2 linked regions of the Arabidopsis thaliana genome follow. The protein of the gene in region 2 interacts with the protein of the main gene of each other region in a pairwise test. Each region holds a gene or a part of one and is shown on either strand. Other genes may lie near its edges.

Evidence for each region.
Region 1: the proteins of AT5G01990 (region 2) and RD20 interact in a two-hybrid assay, tested with the Arabidopsis thaliana proteins (one large-scale study listed by BioGRID).

Annotation. Positions count from the first base shown.
Region 1 is NC_003071.7:14,141,310-14,148,353, forward strand, and holds RD20 (Caleosin-related family protein), read right to left. Parts: upstream 5,247-7,044; 5' UTR 5,066-5,246; coding exon 4,963-5,065; intron 4,689-4,962; coding exon 4,539-4,688; intron 4,456-4,538; coding exon 4,370-4,455; intron 4,274-4,369; coding exon 4,179-4,273; intron 4,087-4,178; coding exon 3,961-4,086; intron 3,826-3,960; coding exon 3,675-3,825; 3' UTR 3,522-3,674; downstream 1-3,521. Other genes in the region: AT2G33360 (cadherin EGF LAG seven-pass G-type receptor, putative (DUF3527)), read left to right, coding at 1-1,226, 1,385-1,561; AT2G33370 (Ribosomal protein L14p/L23e family protein), read right to left, coding at 2,409-2,491, 2,586-2,627, 2,709-2,993, 3,323-3,335; arpc2b (actin-related protein C2B), read right to left, coding at 6,295-6,512, 6,612-6,654, 6,756-6,812, 6,900-6,991. UniProt on the Arabidopsis thaliana protein: Probable calcium-binding peroxygenase. May be involved in the degradation of storage lipid in oil bodies, in abiotic stress-related signaling pathway and in drought tolerance through stomatal control under water deficit conditions.
Region 2 is NC_003076.8:375,779-383,904, forward strand, and holds AT5G01990 (Auxin efflux carrier family protein), read right to left. Parts: upstream 4,134-8,126; 5' UTR 3,823-4,133; coding exon 3,625-3,822; intron 3,534-3,624; coding exon 3,454-3,533; intron 3,376-3,453; coding exon 3,251-3,375; intron 3,174-3,250; coding exon 3,052-3,173; intron 2,751-3,051; coding exon 2,520-2,750; intron 2,418-2,519; coding exon 2,343-2,417; intron 2,230-2,342; coding exon 2,129-2,229; intron 2,050-2,128; coding exon 1,997-2,049; intron 1,906-1,996; coding exon 1,595-1,905; 3' UTR 1,453-1,594; downstream 1-1,452. Other genes in the region: AT5G01980 (RING/U-box superfamily protein), read left to right, coding at 1-1,245; AT5G02000 (uncharacterized protein), read right to left, coding at 4,377-4,817; ROPGEF7 (RHO guanyl-nucleotide exchange factor 7), read left to right, coding at 7,715-7,922, 8,056-8,126. UniProt on the Arabidopsis thaliana protein: Involved in cellular auxin homeostasis by regulating auxin metabolism. Regulates intracellular auxin accumulation at the endoplasmic reticulum and thus auxin availability for nuclear auxin signaling.

The sequences.
Region 1 (7,044 bases), on a different chromosome or scaffold from region 2:
TTGTGTTTGATCTTCCGTTGGTAGATGATTCAGGCAGTCCAGTGATTAGCCGTGCAATTATAGGTTGCAAGAGGGTTACATATATGCTTGATAAGCCTACGTTACACAGTCTCGAAGCATTAGATGGTGATGGTAATAATATCGGGACAAGGCGAGACCATAATGGTGAAAGCGAGTTGGTTTCATATGATGTTGTGAGGAAGATAGAGGAAAAAAACACCCCGGATTCACAGTTTCTGAGTTATCATTCTGGAAACATGCCCCGAAAGGCAGTTTCTTTATCAAGCACAAATTCATTGAGTTCTTCTTCTTCTGAGCAATCTTCTTCCTCGTGGTCTCCATCTTCATCAGTTTCTCAAGGAACACTTCAATTCACTATGAAAGACAACAAGACGCCTCATTTTGTTTTCTCACTGGATGATCAGAAAGAGATCTATGTAGCTAGCTTAAGCACTACTAGTGTTGGGTCAGGTTTCGACCGTAGTTCTCTAGACTATTCGTATTTGATCCATTTGAAGAAAGGTCGCGGATCTGAGCCGCAGCATTTGGTTGGTAAACTAAAGGTATCAACTTTGTTTTCTGTCTCGTCCACGAATGAAAAAACTGTAGAGAGACAGTTTGTTCTATTCAGCAGTGGTGGAAATCCGCAGTTACCGTGCCACAAAGATATTAGGAAAAACAGAGGATTGCCTAAGAAAGTCGTTGATGCTCTCAAAAGCACCAAACGCACTTCAAGGCAAAGAAGTATCTCAAGATTCAGTAGAACAAGCTCCATACCGGATTTTTGTTCTTGGGAGCCATTTCAAGAACATGACAGCGATCTTGAACCCATAAGTTTACTGGATAATGACCTTCCACCAAATCTTGAAACCTCAGCTGTTGTTGTGAGAGAACAGTTTCCAGTGGAAGAAGAAGAAGAAGAAGAAGTCGAAAAAGTTGGAGGCTGGGGCATGAAGTTTCTCAAGAAAATTCCCTTAGCTCGAACCAAGGATGCTTCTAAATGTTCTAAGCATTCCACAAGCATAGATGTTGTGATTCCTTTAGGGATTCACGGAGGGCCGAGAAATAGAAACGGTGGTCCTTCGAGCTTGATTCAGAGATGGAAATCCGGTGGATGCTGTGATTGCTCTGGATGGGACTTGGGTTGCCCCTTAACCGTCCTTAAAGGCCAAGCGCGAAAAGACCAAAGTGAAGGCCAATGCAATCTTTTTGAGCTTTTCACAGAGGTAGCATTCAAGATCCAGTTACCACTTCCTTAACCATACATCATAGATTTCAAAAAATGGAAACTTTCTTGCATTCAAGATAACTCATCAACTAAAAAATCAGTCTTGGTCATATTGACTCTGAAATTCGATTGATTCGTTGTGTGTTTTCGTTTCAGGGATTGATGCAGGGAAGTCCTGGACTAAGGATCATGAATGTTCGAGATGGTCTCTACTTTGTCCAGTCTCAAGCAAAGATATCAGTTTTGCAATCTTTTTCAATTGCTTTAGCATACATTCATAGCCAAAGCCAGAGACTCCGGCCATGGTCGTCAAAGAAGTGTACAGAAGCTTAACTAGCAAAAGAAAGGATTGCACAAAGTAAGATGGGCAAAACTCAGCCTTCATAGTTTTTAGTTGGGTTCTTGAGTTAACAATATCTACAAATTAGTAGATATTATTTTTATTTTTTTATTTTTTGGCTTTCTGTTTAAATCTATAGAAAGTATATCATTGTCTCTTTACTGGAATCATATGTGGGCTTTGGTATTGTTTTTCAAAGAGTTGTGTAAAATGTAAATTCTGACTTTTGATTTTCACCTTCATGATTTTTTTTTTTTTTGCTAAATTTGTTAATATCATTAGAATGAACAATGTGATTTTACAGAGCAAAACCAAACCAAAGCAATCTTGGCAAAAAAGTAAAACAAGATTACAATAGAGTTACGTAAGATTTGGGTGGATTAACGGATCCAAAGAAGCATTAACGACCGCCAACGCGCCCGGTGCCTTCTCGAGGTGATGATGTTTCGAATCTCGCGGTCAATGAACTTGAAGATGAGGGCCGGAGCAAGACGCTGAAGATTGTGAAGCAGATTATTTCGCTGCCTCCAAATATTGTAGACCACATGATTTCGCTGCCTCCAAATTTTCACCTTCATGATATTCTGGTTTTGTAAGAGTTTCTTCTGCACATAATTTTCGACTTTATAACTCATTTTTATGACCTATTAATAGTCACCTCTGAGCAATTGATTTTCACAAAATCAGAAACTGGAAAAATCTAAGCAAAATCTCTTAGAAACTGGAAATATGTCTGAAGCTCACAAAAGATTGTCGTCTCTACTTAAAACACTCAAAACACCAACTATTTCGCGTTTCGTTGAAGACAGATACATAACCAGCAAAAGTGATAAATGATCTTCAGACAATGGCGTTAGCAGCACTAGCAATCCTTGGCCAGAGATCCGCACACTCTTTCCCAATAGGTCCAGTAATTGCAGAACCTGAAAACCAAAACAAACCACCAACATGTTTCAGAAAACAATGTACTGCCAAGATATGTTTGACAAAGAACTAATGGAATAAACAAACTAATACCTTTCATTTCTCCCTTAGGGTTCACAATCACTCCAGCATTATCTACGATCCAAGAACCGAATCAGTACCAATCTCATGATCATAAACTTCAACTCGAGAAATTGTTGAGGTATGCAAAATTACCTTCAAAGTACATGAAAACACCGTCCTTTCGGCGCCATGGCTTACGTTGCCTAACAATCACAGCAGGAAGAACCTTTTTCCTGAGGTCTGGTTTACCTTTCTTGACAGTGGCCATAACCATGTCACCAACACAAGCAGAAGGTAACCGATTGAGACGACCTTTGATTCCTTTAACAGAGATGATGTAAAGGTTCTTAGCACCAGTGTTGTCTGCACAGTTCACTGTGGCTGCAACGGGCAGACCAAGTGACATCCTGAATTTGTTACCAGACGTTCCTCCACGTCCTAATCAAATCAAACAACAAAACACAAGCACCATTAGAACAATGCTCAAAAACATTTACCTTTTCTGTTTTCAATAACATCAAGTCTCAAATTCAATATTTTTGATATCAAATGTTGTTAATGAGCTGTCTAGATGAATACATCAGATCATATTACTTGGAATTGAAGAAATCGAGATCAAAGGTTCAAACTTTCGAGCATTCTATACTGAGAGTAGTAGATTGATTTCAATTATTATTAAATCTAACAGCCATGGAAGCTTCAAAAACAAATTATACTAAATTGCAACAGCTACGAAAGAAGAAGGCTTGGAATCGAAAAAGACATACCTCGCTTCGACATTTTCGACGGCTCAAGCTCTAGGGCTTCTGATGTTTGGCGTCTGATCGAAGTAGAAAAATGAAGGAGAAGAAAGGATTAGGGTTTAAACCTATGGAAAAGGCCTTTTAGGCCCATGATAGCCCATGAACCATTTTAATCATGAAATGAACAATACCAAATTCTTCTTATTAGTCTTTTTTTTTTTTTTGTAACATCTTCTCTTATTTATATAACTTTGAAACATAGTTTACAAACACATTAATTATACAAATCCCCAAACTGAATAACAAGACGAAAGAAGCTAAATTACACAATGCTTTTCTTCAAAAAGCTTTATTCGCTAACCAAACACACACATTCTTAGTCTTGTTTGCGAGAATTGGCCCTCTCTTTGGCAATTTGTTCAAATAAACTTCCATCAAAGCAACCTCTCACAGCTTCTTTAGATAGGAAACCATCTTCGTCCTTAGCAAGAATATAGAGTAGTATCCATTCAACTTTGTTTGAAAGCCTGCCATAACCAACACAACAAATTTAGCAGATTTCGTTAGGATTTAGTGTTAACTTATTACCGTGTATGTAAAATCAACTAATAAATTTCATTCAAAAAAATCAACTAATAACCAATAATGTTTTTAGTACTAACCATCCAAAAGGATCGATTGCCATTCGATTTCCCTCGGTTACATTCCAAACCTCTTTAAATGATAACTTATCTTTAACCGTTAGCGCGTATTTGCTAAATATGTTCTCGAGGTTAACTGGGACATACCTATAAACAATCGCAATTTTACAAAATTGAGTATCATGAAAATTCTATTTAAAATTATTGGATATTATATTTTACATATATGTTAATGTTACCTTCCTTCGGTGTCATAGGTGCTCGAATCACTCCCATGCTTGGCTTTGTGTATGTTGTCGATATAAACCGGCAATAATGGTGATGGCACCCAACTCTTTTTACATAAAATTGATCACAACATAAATTAAAATCACAAAATAATAATAAAATTCAAATTAAATTCGAAGGGTCTCTGGATTATTTTCCATACCGGAAGTGTAACGTAGCTGAACGCTAAGTTTATGAGTAAGGTCCAAAAGATAGAGGAAATTGGGTTGAAACCAAGGTCACGAAATCCTGCAATTTTTATACAATTATTTGAATTTTTTTTTTTTCTGAAGATTGAAGTCTTTGAAGAGACTATAACAAGTAATAATTACCCTTATAAGTCTCCCAAGGATAGACGATTCCATCGTCGTTTTGGTCGAAGAAAGCAACATGTTGTTGCATAACACTCATTCCTTTGCTATCGTGACCTTCTGTTCCATTCGGATGCTCTGTATCTGGAGCTGCTAATGCTCTTGCCATGTCTGTTTTTCATTTTTGTACGTTAGATTATTATGTATCTTTTTCAAGAAAATTACATTTTTTCTTTAAGTTATTGTGACTTGTGTTGAACACTACAAATCTTGAAAGGTACACTTAATTTGAAACATGTTCATGTCCTCACCATAACTTTTAAAAATGGATAATATACGATTTGTCATGTTAATAGTTGGATGTTTTTGTAGTTTCATTTAACGTAACCACTTAATTTCCCGCTTGTTACACATTAAAATCATAAATTTGGACATTCACACTTACATGGTTTTGGTAATGTTTCCTCCAAATCGTTCCGTACTTTTCGCTGACTGGTGACCGGAGCTAACGGTGCCGTCGTGGCCAAAGCCTCTGCCTCTCCTGCCATTCTCTCTCTCTTACTCTTTTACAATCTCGCTGTCTTGTGTAATTGTTAATAATTGATAATGCTCTCTGTTTCTTCTTATGCAAAAGACGTACACATTGATGTTTTGGTGTTCGTGATCCTTTATAAGTAAAACGATATAACAAGGATGATGTGAATAGGGACACGTGTCAGGAAGTAGTGGTGTAAACATTTAAAAGAAAACGAAGACGACAAGCAATATGATCACATATAATATGGTCCATCCACGTGGTTATTTTCAATTTGCTAAAATGTAATTGTACTTTTGTTCACGAGGAGGACGGTGGAAAAAACCAACGTGCTTATTCTATGAGTTTAGGAAGAGACTCAAAAGATAGCATATGCGAGCAAAACATGATTGACTGGGAGCCCATAACATCTCAGAATGATCCATCCTCTTTCATTTTGTACATAACACTCCCATATTATATGAAACCGTAGTTGTTTGCAAGAACTGATTCATCCTAATTCTAATTAGCACATATATACTTAACTATGAGTATCAACAAACCGACCGGTTGAATACATATTAATTATGTAGACATGTAGTGATGATCAATTGATCATATACCCTAATTTGAACTTTTTTGCTCGTTATGATTTAGGAGCTAACGTTGCCGACGTGCTCAATGTGTGAAGTTTTAGGATTGAAATTTATTGATTACAAAAGAAAAAAAAAGGACGAGTACTGTGACCACAATATGTGGTCACATGCACGTGGCTGGAACCATTTGCTGATTTGCGTGTGCGGTGGAAATTAAAAAGCGGGATTAAGAGATACCAATAGATTGATGATTTCGTATAAGTGATAAGCAAAAATAATAAAATCATAACTTAACTAAAGTATTTAAATTACAAAACCTACAAACATTTATGTATTACCATTTTTTGGCCGTATCTCAGTGTGTTGATTGGTTACATTTTTTTTTTTATCACATGATGATTGTATACATTGAAAAGTAAAAAGAGTGAATGGTACTTGTACAAAGCTCTTACGTAACATGCTGCATTCAATGCCAACTTTTGATTAGGTTTATTTTTGGTTTACCAAATTATATCCATAAGTTTATCTGATAACGTTTTTTTTTGTTGTCAAGATATTCATTAACGTATAATATTGCTCCCCGAATTCAATTTTAAAGCATGTTGACAAAGAAAAAAAACAACAACACCGAGCCTCTTTCTTGAGACTTTCCAAGTTAAGTGATTACTTAGTCCAATTTTGTGTATGATTTATCTGATGGTTTCGAAGAGAATTTGGGGAGAGATATCCACCGCTGATTGAATCGAAACCGAGCACAACCGTTGATTTTGATCCGGAACTTGCTTATCTTCACTCTCCTTGTCATCTCCTTGCATCTTTGTTTCATCATCAATTTACCTTTTGGTACCTTCACAAACTCCTTTACGTATTTGCATCTTCCGTTTTCTATATAGAAATTAGAGAATGGAAAAGAAAAAATGATAATATAACTTTTTTATATATACAAACCTAAGTAAGGTTAAAGGTAACAAAAAAAAAGGATACCATTTTGAGCAGCTTCTTCTTCTAGGCTTGTGTTATTTAGCAGCTACGTATATAATGTAAATTTACAAACATACGTTATTTTGTTTATGAAATGTCAACTATTGTTGTAGATTCGTGTGTGTACGTAATATATGATAAAAATACCTTAACTAAAGTTTCCATTCTTTTTCTCATCCGTCTCTGTATGTACCCTCTCGAGCACTATTTAAACAATACGAGGTTGAAAATTTTCAATTACAAGAACACAAAATCTATTATATTTTATTTGAAAAACTAGAACTAATGTACCTTAATATGGTACTTAGCGCATGCGTAGAAATTTAGCAAGTTCCAAACCGTTTTGTCCAGTCTCTTTCCTTCAATGTGCCGTGAAGTAATATCTGCAATGAGAATTGTTTGAACTTTGACATTTAAGAATACTAATTAAAGATGT
Region 2 (8,126 bases):
ACTAGGCACGACAGCTCTGAGTCTGTCGGTGTCGGTGATCTTTCCTCCCAACAATTCACACACTTGATAAGCATTGCAAGACAAAGCCTTTCAACGGTTCAAGCTAGTGAGGATCTACGTGATGACCTGCGAACTAGCTCCCATACCACTCCAAGCGGCTCGACAAGATGGAGACTCTTCTCAGAATCTGAAAGTGATGATTTTGACAACTTTGGCGAAACCGAATCAAACGCTAGCTTTAGCCTCTACAGATTTCCCCATGCTGATAACGATACCATTTCTTTTAGTGCTTACGGTGGAGAGTCTGATGCTTCCACGGACAGGCATGCCGATATCTTTGTTCAACCAGATGACAGGAGCGACATTGACTTTGACACTGATATAGACCCGATGCGCGCTGGTCTTAACCAGTGGAACTCAGACGAAGAAGACAGGGAATGGGAGGAAGGAGCGGGTCCTTCTGGGGTTGCAGGAACACGCTATAGAAACTATTTGGCAAGTCCAAGTGAGAGCTACAGCTCCATGACTCGGTTTGATTCACCTGAGTTAGAGAGAAGCTTTCGTCAAAGAATTATAGAGAGGAGGCATTCGTTATCTCGCAACATCTTCACTGGTTTGGAGGATTTGGACTTCTCCCCCTATGCTGCAAATGTTGGGGATTATCTTGATGAGAGAGGCTTTGATGAACTGCTTGAGCAACTTGCTGAGTCTGACAATTCAAGAAGAGGTGCACCACCTGCATCTGTCTCATGCGTCAGGAATCTTCCAAGGGTTATCATTGCAGAGGAGCATGTAATGAAGGGCCTAGTTTGTGCGATCTGCAAGGAGCTTTTCTCCCTCCGCAATGAAACCACGCAGCTTCCGTGTCTACATCTATACCATGCTCATTGTATCGTACCTTGGCTGAGTGCCCGTAACTCCTGCCCACTCTGCCGTTATGAGCTCCCGACAGATGATAAAGATTACGAGGAGGGAAAGCGGAATGTGCTGGATGTGAGCGAGGATAGCTCCTCCTCTGATGATGGTACAGAATCGGGGGAAGAGGAATATGTAGAGAGAGGTGAGAGCGAGTCTGGTGTGAGCAGAGTCAGCAGAGGAAGATGGCTGTTTCTGGCTGCTGCACCAGTTGTGAGTCTGGTGGGCGTTGTGTTGGCAATGTGGCTAAGCAGCCCACACAGGAGGGGTATAGCAATCTCTCATAGCCAAAGGGAGAACAGAACCAGAAGATGGCTGCCGTTTTTCTGACTGATGCCCAGATCCGTAGGTGCCTCCAGAATCTGTATTTTTTTAAGACCCTTAAAAGATACTTGAGTTTCGTCTGCTGTTTATCGACTTGGTACTGTTTCCACACATTAGTTTTAATTGACGTTTAACTAAAGTTGTGCTGTTTGTCGCGTGTTTCAAATAATATTCTTGATATATCCAGAGAAAAAGGGAGTGCTCATTAGTTGAAAAGAGTTATAAACTAACATTTACACAGGAAAGGAAAAAAAAAAAATCAGAATTTTGGTTGGTTCAGGCACATAGGAGATGCCACTGTATTTACACAGAAGTATTGTATAGTAGCAGATGAATGTGTCAATAAGAAGAGAATTCAGAAGAGTATGTTAATGTAGAGTACCATCCATCCAGCCATTGAGAAGATGGCGAAAATGTGGACCCAGAAGAGCACAGCAGCTGATTCCCTTCCACAGCCTCTAAGGTTGGCAACAGCTCCTGAGAGCACTGATGTAGGCATTGTGTGCTGAAGGAGTAACACAAATCGGAACATCTTATCATCAGCAGGAAGGAACCCAAGTTTGTCTGCTACTGTCACGATTCCTAGTCCTACTGGTGGCACTAACACCAACCGTCCAATTATAATAGCTGCTGTTGTCTTGAAACCAAGTTTTGAACTTCCTGGTCCTAAAATTTACCCAAGGAACCAATAAGATCCATGTGATGGATGGGGCTAAAAACTAAGTCAGTATGAAAAGAAAGCAACCACCAAACCTACCGTTAATGAGATTTCCCCCCAGTGCCAGTAAGATACACGGTATCATCGCGTCCCTGATAGCCAAAGGTTTTACATATATTAACTAATTAATTTGCAGCTGCTTCACAGAAGACAAATAAAGAGTGTGCTTACCCAAGAATCATGCAGCTGTCTGTGAAGAAGAATAGAGGTGCACCATTTGTGAATATCAACTTCTTTGTGAAAGGTATTGCTCCGAGTATCATGGCAAGGATCTGAAGTTAACAAAAACACGTCTAGTTTAGTTACATGGTAAAGGCAATCGCACGGTCTCTTGATCTTTAGATTGTCAGATAAAAAAGGGGAATAGAAAAGACGAGATACTTACCGAAGCAACAATTGCAGGCTGGACAATTTGCTTCAGTTTCAGCTTCTCATAGAGGAAAACAAAGATCTGTGCAATCTACATCACGGAGCAAAAGATAAAAAGTTTCGTAAGAACCAGCTTATATCAGGTAAAATACTCCTGAAACATAGAATAAAGATTCCATAATTGCAGTCCCACCTTGCCTTTCCTTGAAACCCCTCTTCCCCTAGGTTCGGTGCTCTGTACAGGCAAAAGATCTTGAGTCGGCGAAAAGTCCTTGGGAAAATTCTGAGTAAGCAAGGGGACTTGCTCTGGAGCAGCATCTACTGGAAGGGTTTTTAAAGCAAGATTTTCTTCTTCAGCATCAAACCCTTCTGGAGGAGGAGCAAACATCTGGTACACATATGTATAGAGGATGATGGCACCAACCTGATATAAAAAGTAAACCTTGTGGTTAATTGAAGTCCCACAGAGAGAAATAATATCCATTCCCATAAGACATTGATGACAAACAGTACATTGGAACTAAAGATCCTATACAAAATAGTTTCAATGAGGATACTCCTCATACATCAAGCTCCTCTTCATCCAAACAGAAAAAAAAAGCAGAAGACAAGAAACTGTATCACTGTTACATAAGAGACAGAAACTGAAGCAGCTAATGGACTGATTCTAGTAGGTATAATAATAGTTACAGCATAGAAGCAGTTAAAAAGAGAAAAAAGAGTACCCATTGACCAAAGGAGATATAAGCAGTGCCATCAATGCTACATTTTTCGGAGTCACCAAAAGGGTTGGAAGTGTCCCTACAAAGAGCCGCAAGTAAAACAAGAGGCACATTGCCAATGTTGCCTGAAACAAACAAGGCACATAAAGTGAGACTAGTGTCAGAGCAGAAAAGCGAGGGTAGGGAAAAAAAGGGGTCTAACCAACTCCAATTTGTATGATTGTAAACTTGAAGTAAGGGTAAGGCGGACGAACGATGGAAGCAACGATGAAACCGATTATGGAGCCAGAGATGGTGCCAAGAACGACGTTAACGGGAATGAACCACCTGAAAGATGGAAAAGAATATGATGATCTATATAAGGACTAGAGAGAGACTAGGGGGGACAAAGAAGGAAACAAATACCACTGAAGCATTTTTTGGAGAGTGACGGCTTGTCCGAGCTGGGAAAAGATCAAGCAGGGAAGCAAAAGCGAGAAGACCAACTGTGTGAAAAGGAGAGACAGTTTCATTCAAAGTTTGCTTTTTTTGGATTTATAGAGAAAGTGAAAAAGTCTAGTGTGGAGAATTAATTACCCCGTTCAAGAGTTTGCGGCCAGAGGGAGGCAAGATGTTAACGTACTTGGAGGCCATGAGAAGACCCAAGAAGCACATGGTGAATACCTTTGCAATTGGCATCACAGCGATTTTGATGGTACCGAGCACTGATCCACCACCGGCAGCCACCGGCATCTCCATGGAATCGGCTAAGGCGGCAAGGATCCGAGCAATCATTCTGAGAATTTTGAGGGTGGACTTGGGTTGAAAAGTGGAGGAGAAACAGAGAGAATCGGAGTCTCTGAGATGATATTTTGATTTGATGAGAGAAGAGAATCAAAGACTTCTCTCGATCTCTCGTGACTCTCGTGACTGCCTGCCACGTGCGCCGCTTCTTCCTTTACTTCTTTCCTTTTCTAAGCCCAAAAGCCCCTTCAAAACTTCCCCACATACCTTTTTTTTTATTCTGTTTTTATTATTACTCAAGTTTAGAACTTCATTTATTTATGGTTTATTTTCATTTAATTAAAATACTCAAGTTTACAAGTTTTTACAACAAACTTGTAAAAATATCAGCTGACCAAGCCTCAAAACTATGTTTGACCTGACTTGGGATTTGGGATAATGAGGATCACAACTATAAAATATATTCTTAAACGGAAATAAAAGCAAAAAGATAAAAAGAAAAAAAAACAATGATATAGTTGATGATGCCCTAGGATTTGGACACATCAACAAATATTGGTTGGTTCCAACATGATTCTGTAGAAAAGGTATTATAATAATAATAATCAAGTTTGTAGAGGGGAGAGAGATGAGGCATTGCAGTAAGCGATAGCTGCCTTGAGGGAATCGTCCGTTAATGCTTCATCCTTATTATTACTCATGCTGCCTTCGTAGTAGTATCGTAGGGGGCTCTTGTTTCGTCGTCTCTGTATAACTTGGAGGACCCACCTCTCTCCCACGTTTACTTTCTCTCTTATGACTCCCACTATACTCAAACACCCCACTTTCATCATCAACCTCGTCACGCTGCTGTATGCTGAGAAGCAACTAGTGGCCGATGAGAAGATTGCTGTCGTCGTCTGCATTTCGTTCTCGGGAGATGGCGAAGAAGAGATGCTCAATCCTGTGGTTCTGACTGCTTTGTTGATTTGTATTTCAATGAAAGATTCACCATTGTTGCTGCTATCCTTCGACGCTTCATTCATCCATCCCACCTCGTTCTCCATACTATTAGTTACCGGGTCACTTCCCAAAACTCCATCTACTACGACTAGTTATAGATATATAAGATTTGATCTCTTGCTCCTAATTTTTTAACAATAATCAAGTAGATTCTAATTGATATACAGCTAGCAGCTCATGTGAGCTCTTAGTGCAATAATATAAGAGAATGAATACACGATTATTGTCTGATCAAATTAAATCTCTCGATGGGATCGGGGGATTGGTGGTATAAATCAAATTTTTAATAATATATAGTTTGGACACTAGTCCCTGATAATATCATAATGTAGCTAACTGAGTTGTATTTATCGCCAAGCTCTTGGGATATCACATGCATATATCACATGTCACATTTTATTTGCTTTCTCGTTTTGAATTGTATTTTGGTTTCTCATTTTTGATGGAGTCAAATTCCGAAAAGCCGGAAAGAACAGCTAATGGATTAAGTCTTGAAATGTATCTTTTGTATACGTGTTTCGGTTTTTGTTGTGAGATTTTATTGGATCACGCTTGAAGATATTATTTCAAGGGATAAAAGGATAAAGAAAAAAGATTCTTGATAAAATATTATGTTAGCTTAGCTTGGTGTACGTACAATAATATGAGAAGAGCGATTTTGATCTCACCGTAAAGTACTTTTTCCAAACGGGTTTGCACTAGATGGCCCATAATGAAGTTTTATTAGGCCCATGGATGATAGTCCAATGAAATGATGTAATCAAACGTAAGCAATAAGTAAGAACTTATGAAGAACCAACTGGTTTGCTTCGGTCCATCAATGAACGTTATGCACCGTGGTCCGTGGTAATTAGACTTTTCTAGTTCGTATTTGAAAATTTTCAATAGTTCTTATTTTGTAATTATCATAATCTCTAAACTTTTGTAGTGCAGTTGGGAAGTAAACAAATAAATATAAAAATAACATGGTTTATATAGCTCAAAGAAATGGGATATGTTTTTTGGAGAACTTTTTGATTAAGGATATTGGGTAGTGTAAGTTGAAAGTAATGTTCTTGTTAAAAATAATGATATAGCATTATAGCGTAAGGAGAAATTGAAAGTTGATGAAATATTTGTAAGAATATTATGAGTACGTAGAGTAGATAATATTCTTTTATATATGATTAATTAACTATCACTTTAGTATTGTGTAAAACTCAAACTCTCGGTATGATTATAGACGCAATGACAAAATCATGATACTTAAGTCGTTCAAGTATTATTAAATAGATACTTTTGTCATCGTGTTGCGTTTGTTATACAAAAGGTGGAACAGTTTTGAGTTTTGACCTTATTTTTAGGGTTGTTTTGTAAGGGAAACAACGACGTGCAATACGACAACTGATAGAGAACAAAGGACAAAACATTATCTTTGTTTGAAATGCTCGACAACATCTACATATTCCTATTTAATCACGACATTACGTTACTTGAAAAATTCCATAATTCAACTATGGCTATATCTTATATATTTGAAAAGAAGTTATAGAATTGGAAAAAACAAGAAAAATGAGAAATTTTTGGCAAACATATAGTATAAATTATGCAATCAAGAAGAAAAGTTTAGGGATTTTGAAAATGTTAAAATCTTCTCCTAGTTTCTAAGCAAAAAGTATAGGTTGAAACTATTTTCACAAGTAAATTTTTTTAAAAAAATCTATGAAATTCGAGATAAATAAAGATAATTATGAAGCTACAGTTCATATTAAAAAATCGTGTTGTGACCACTCGATCGTAATACACACGCAAAGACAAGGAAAACGTTGGAGATTTGGGTTGGGTTAGAACCAAAGACAAAGCATCACTTTCTACCTTTATCCTTAAGAATGGACCAAATTGTGGTCATTATGGAAGCCTATACGGCTAATACCATTCATTTATCAAACTTGTTAAATGTAAATGAAAACATAGAAGAAAATTTTTATTGATACTTATTGAGTTATTGAATTTCACTTCACGTATTGAATGTGTGTGTTATCTTTGAAGAGAGGACGCATTCATTGTTAGGGAGTGAATGCTTTACGGAGTAACATTTTTGAAATTTGTAAACTTTTTTAGAAATTTAAACTATCTTCGATCCGATCCGCTGCACTATATAAACAAAAATTGTATATAGTAATATTGAACCGTAAAAAAAAGTAGAGGAATTTTCAAGGTTGTGTGTTAATATAAATGAACAAAATTTAAAATACTGACACCAAATATATCTTGTGGAAGTTGTAAAAATAGACAATAAATGGGATAAGTAATAGTAATACAAACTGTTATAGAGGTATTGTACCGTTGCATACTTGCATATCATTTGATGAATACGACTTTATTTTTATTTTTATACTTCTTTAGTTCCAAATTCCTAATTTAATATGGTTACGTAATTTGTAAAAAATATATAATCTTATTGAATACGTCATTTTATGATTTTATAGTTATCAAATCTCATCGTAGATGGATCCGTCAATTACACGATTCCCATAATAGAAAAAGAAACAGTTAATTAGTAAACTATAGTATAAATTTAAATCTTGTCGTCATTGATTTGGATTAGTTTAGAATTAAACCCGTTGATTAAAATAATCACCTGGTTACTGAGAGAAGATAAAGTTGGTGTTTTTAAATCTTATGTTGAAGATGCAGAGAGATCGAGGAAGACAGAGCAAGAGAACCTCTTCACTCACAGACCCACTCACTGCATTTTCTCTTCTTTTCTCAGAAAATACTTTTTTCCCCCGAGAAAATGTTCCACAAGAATCAGATCGAACAATAAGGGTTCTCATAAATGTAATGCGATTCAAGCACGAGAATATCCACAGAGAGAGATACAGAAGGCTCCTTTTGAGTATTTGAGCAAGTTTCAGAACTCGAAGACTGTGTTTGAAAGAGAGATTCAGGCGTAGTAATAATGGATGGTTCGTCGGAAAATTTGCCAGAAGTGGAAGAGAAAGGTAGAGAAAGCAGTTGCTGCAGCTCGGAAACAACCAGACAAGAGGAGGAAGAACAAAGCCCTAGCTGTACGGAGGATTTCACGGCTTCTCCGGTTTCATCTCGTTGGTCTGTGAAGAACATCGATGGAGAGAAGAAGAAGATTCGTTCGGATTCAAGAGTTTCAGGTTCGTCAATTTTTATACAAATGCACACCAAATGTTTGCTTTTATTCCTCACTGACAATTTATTAAAGTTCGTAGCTTTGGATTTTTCTGTCTGAGTTTAAGGCTGTTTTGTGCCACTGGTTTGACTATGTAGAGGTTGAGATGATGAAGGAAAGATTTTCGAAACTGCTGCTTGGAGAAGATATGTCAGGTTCTGGAAATGGT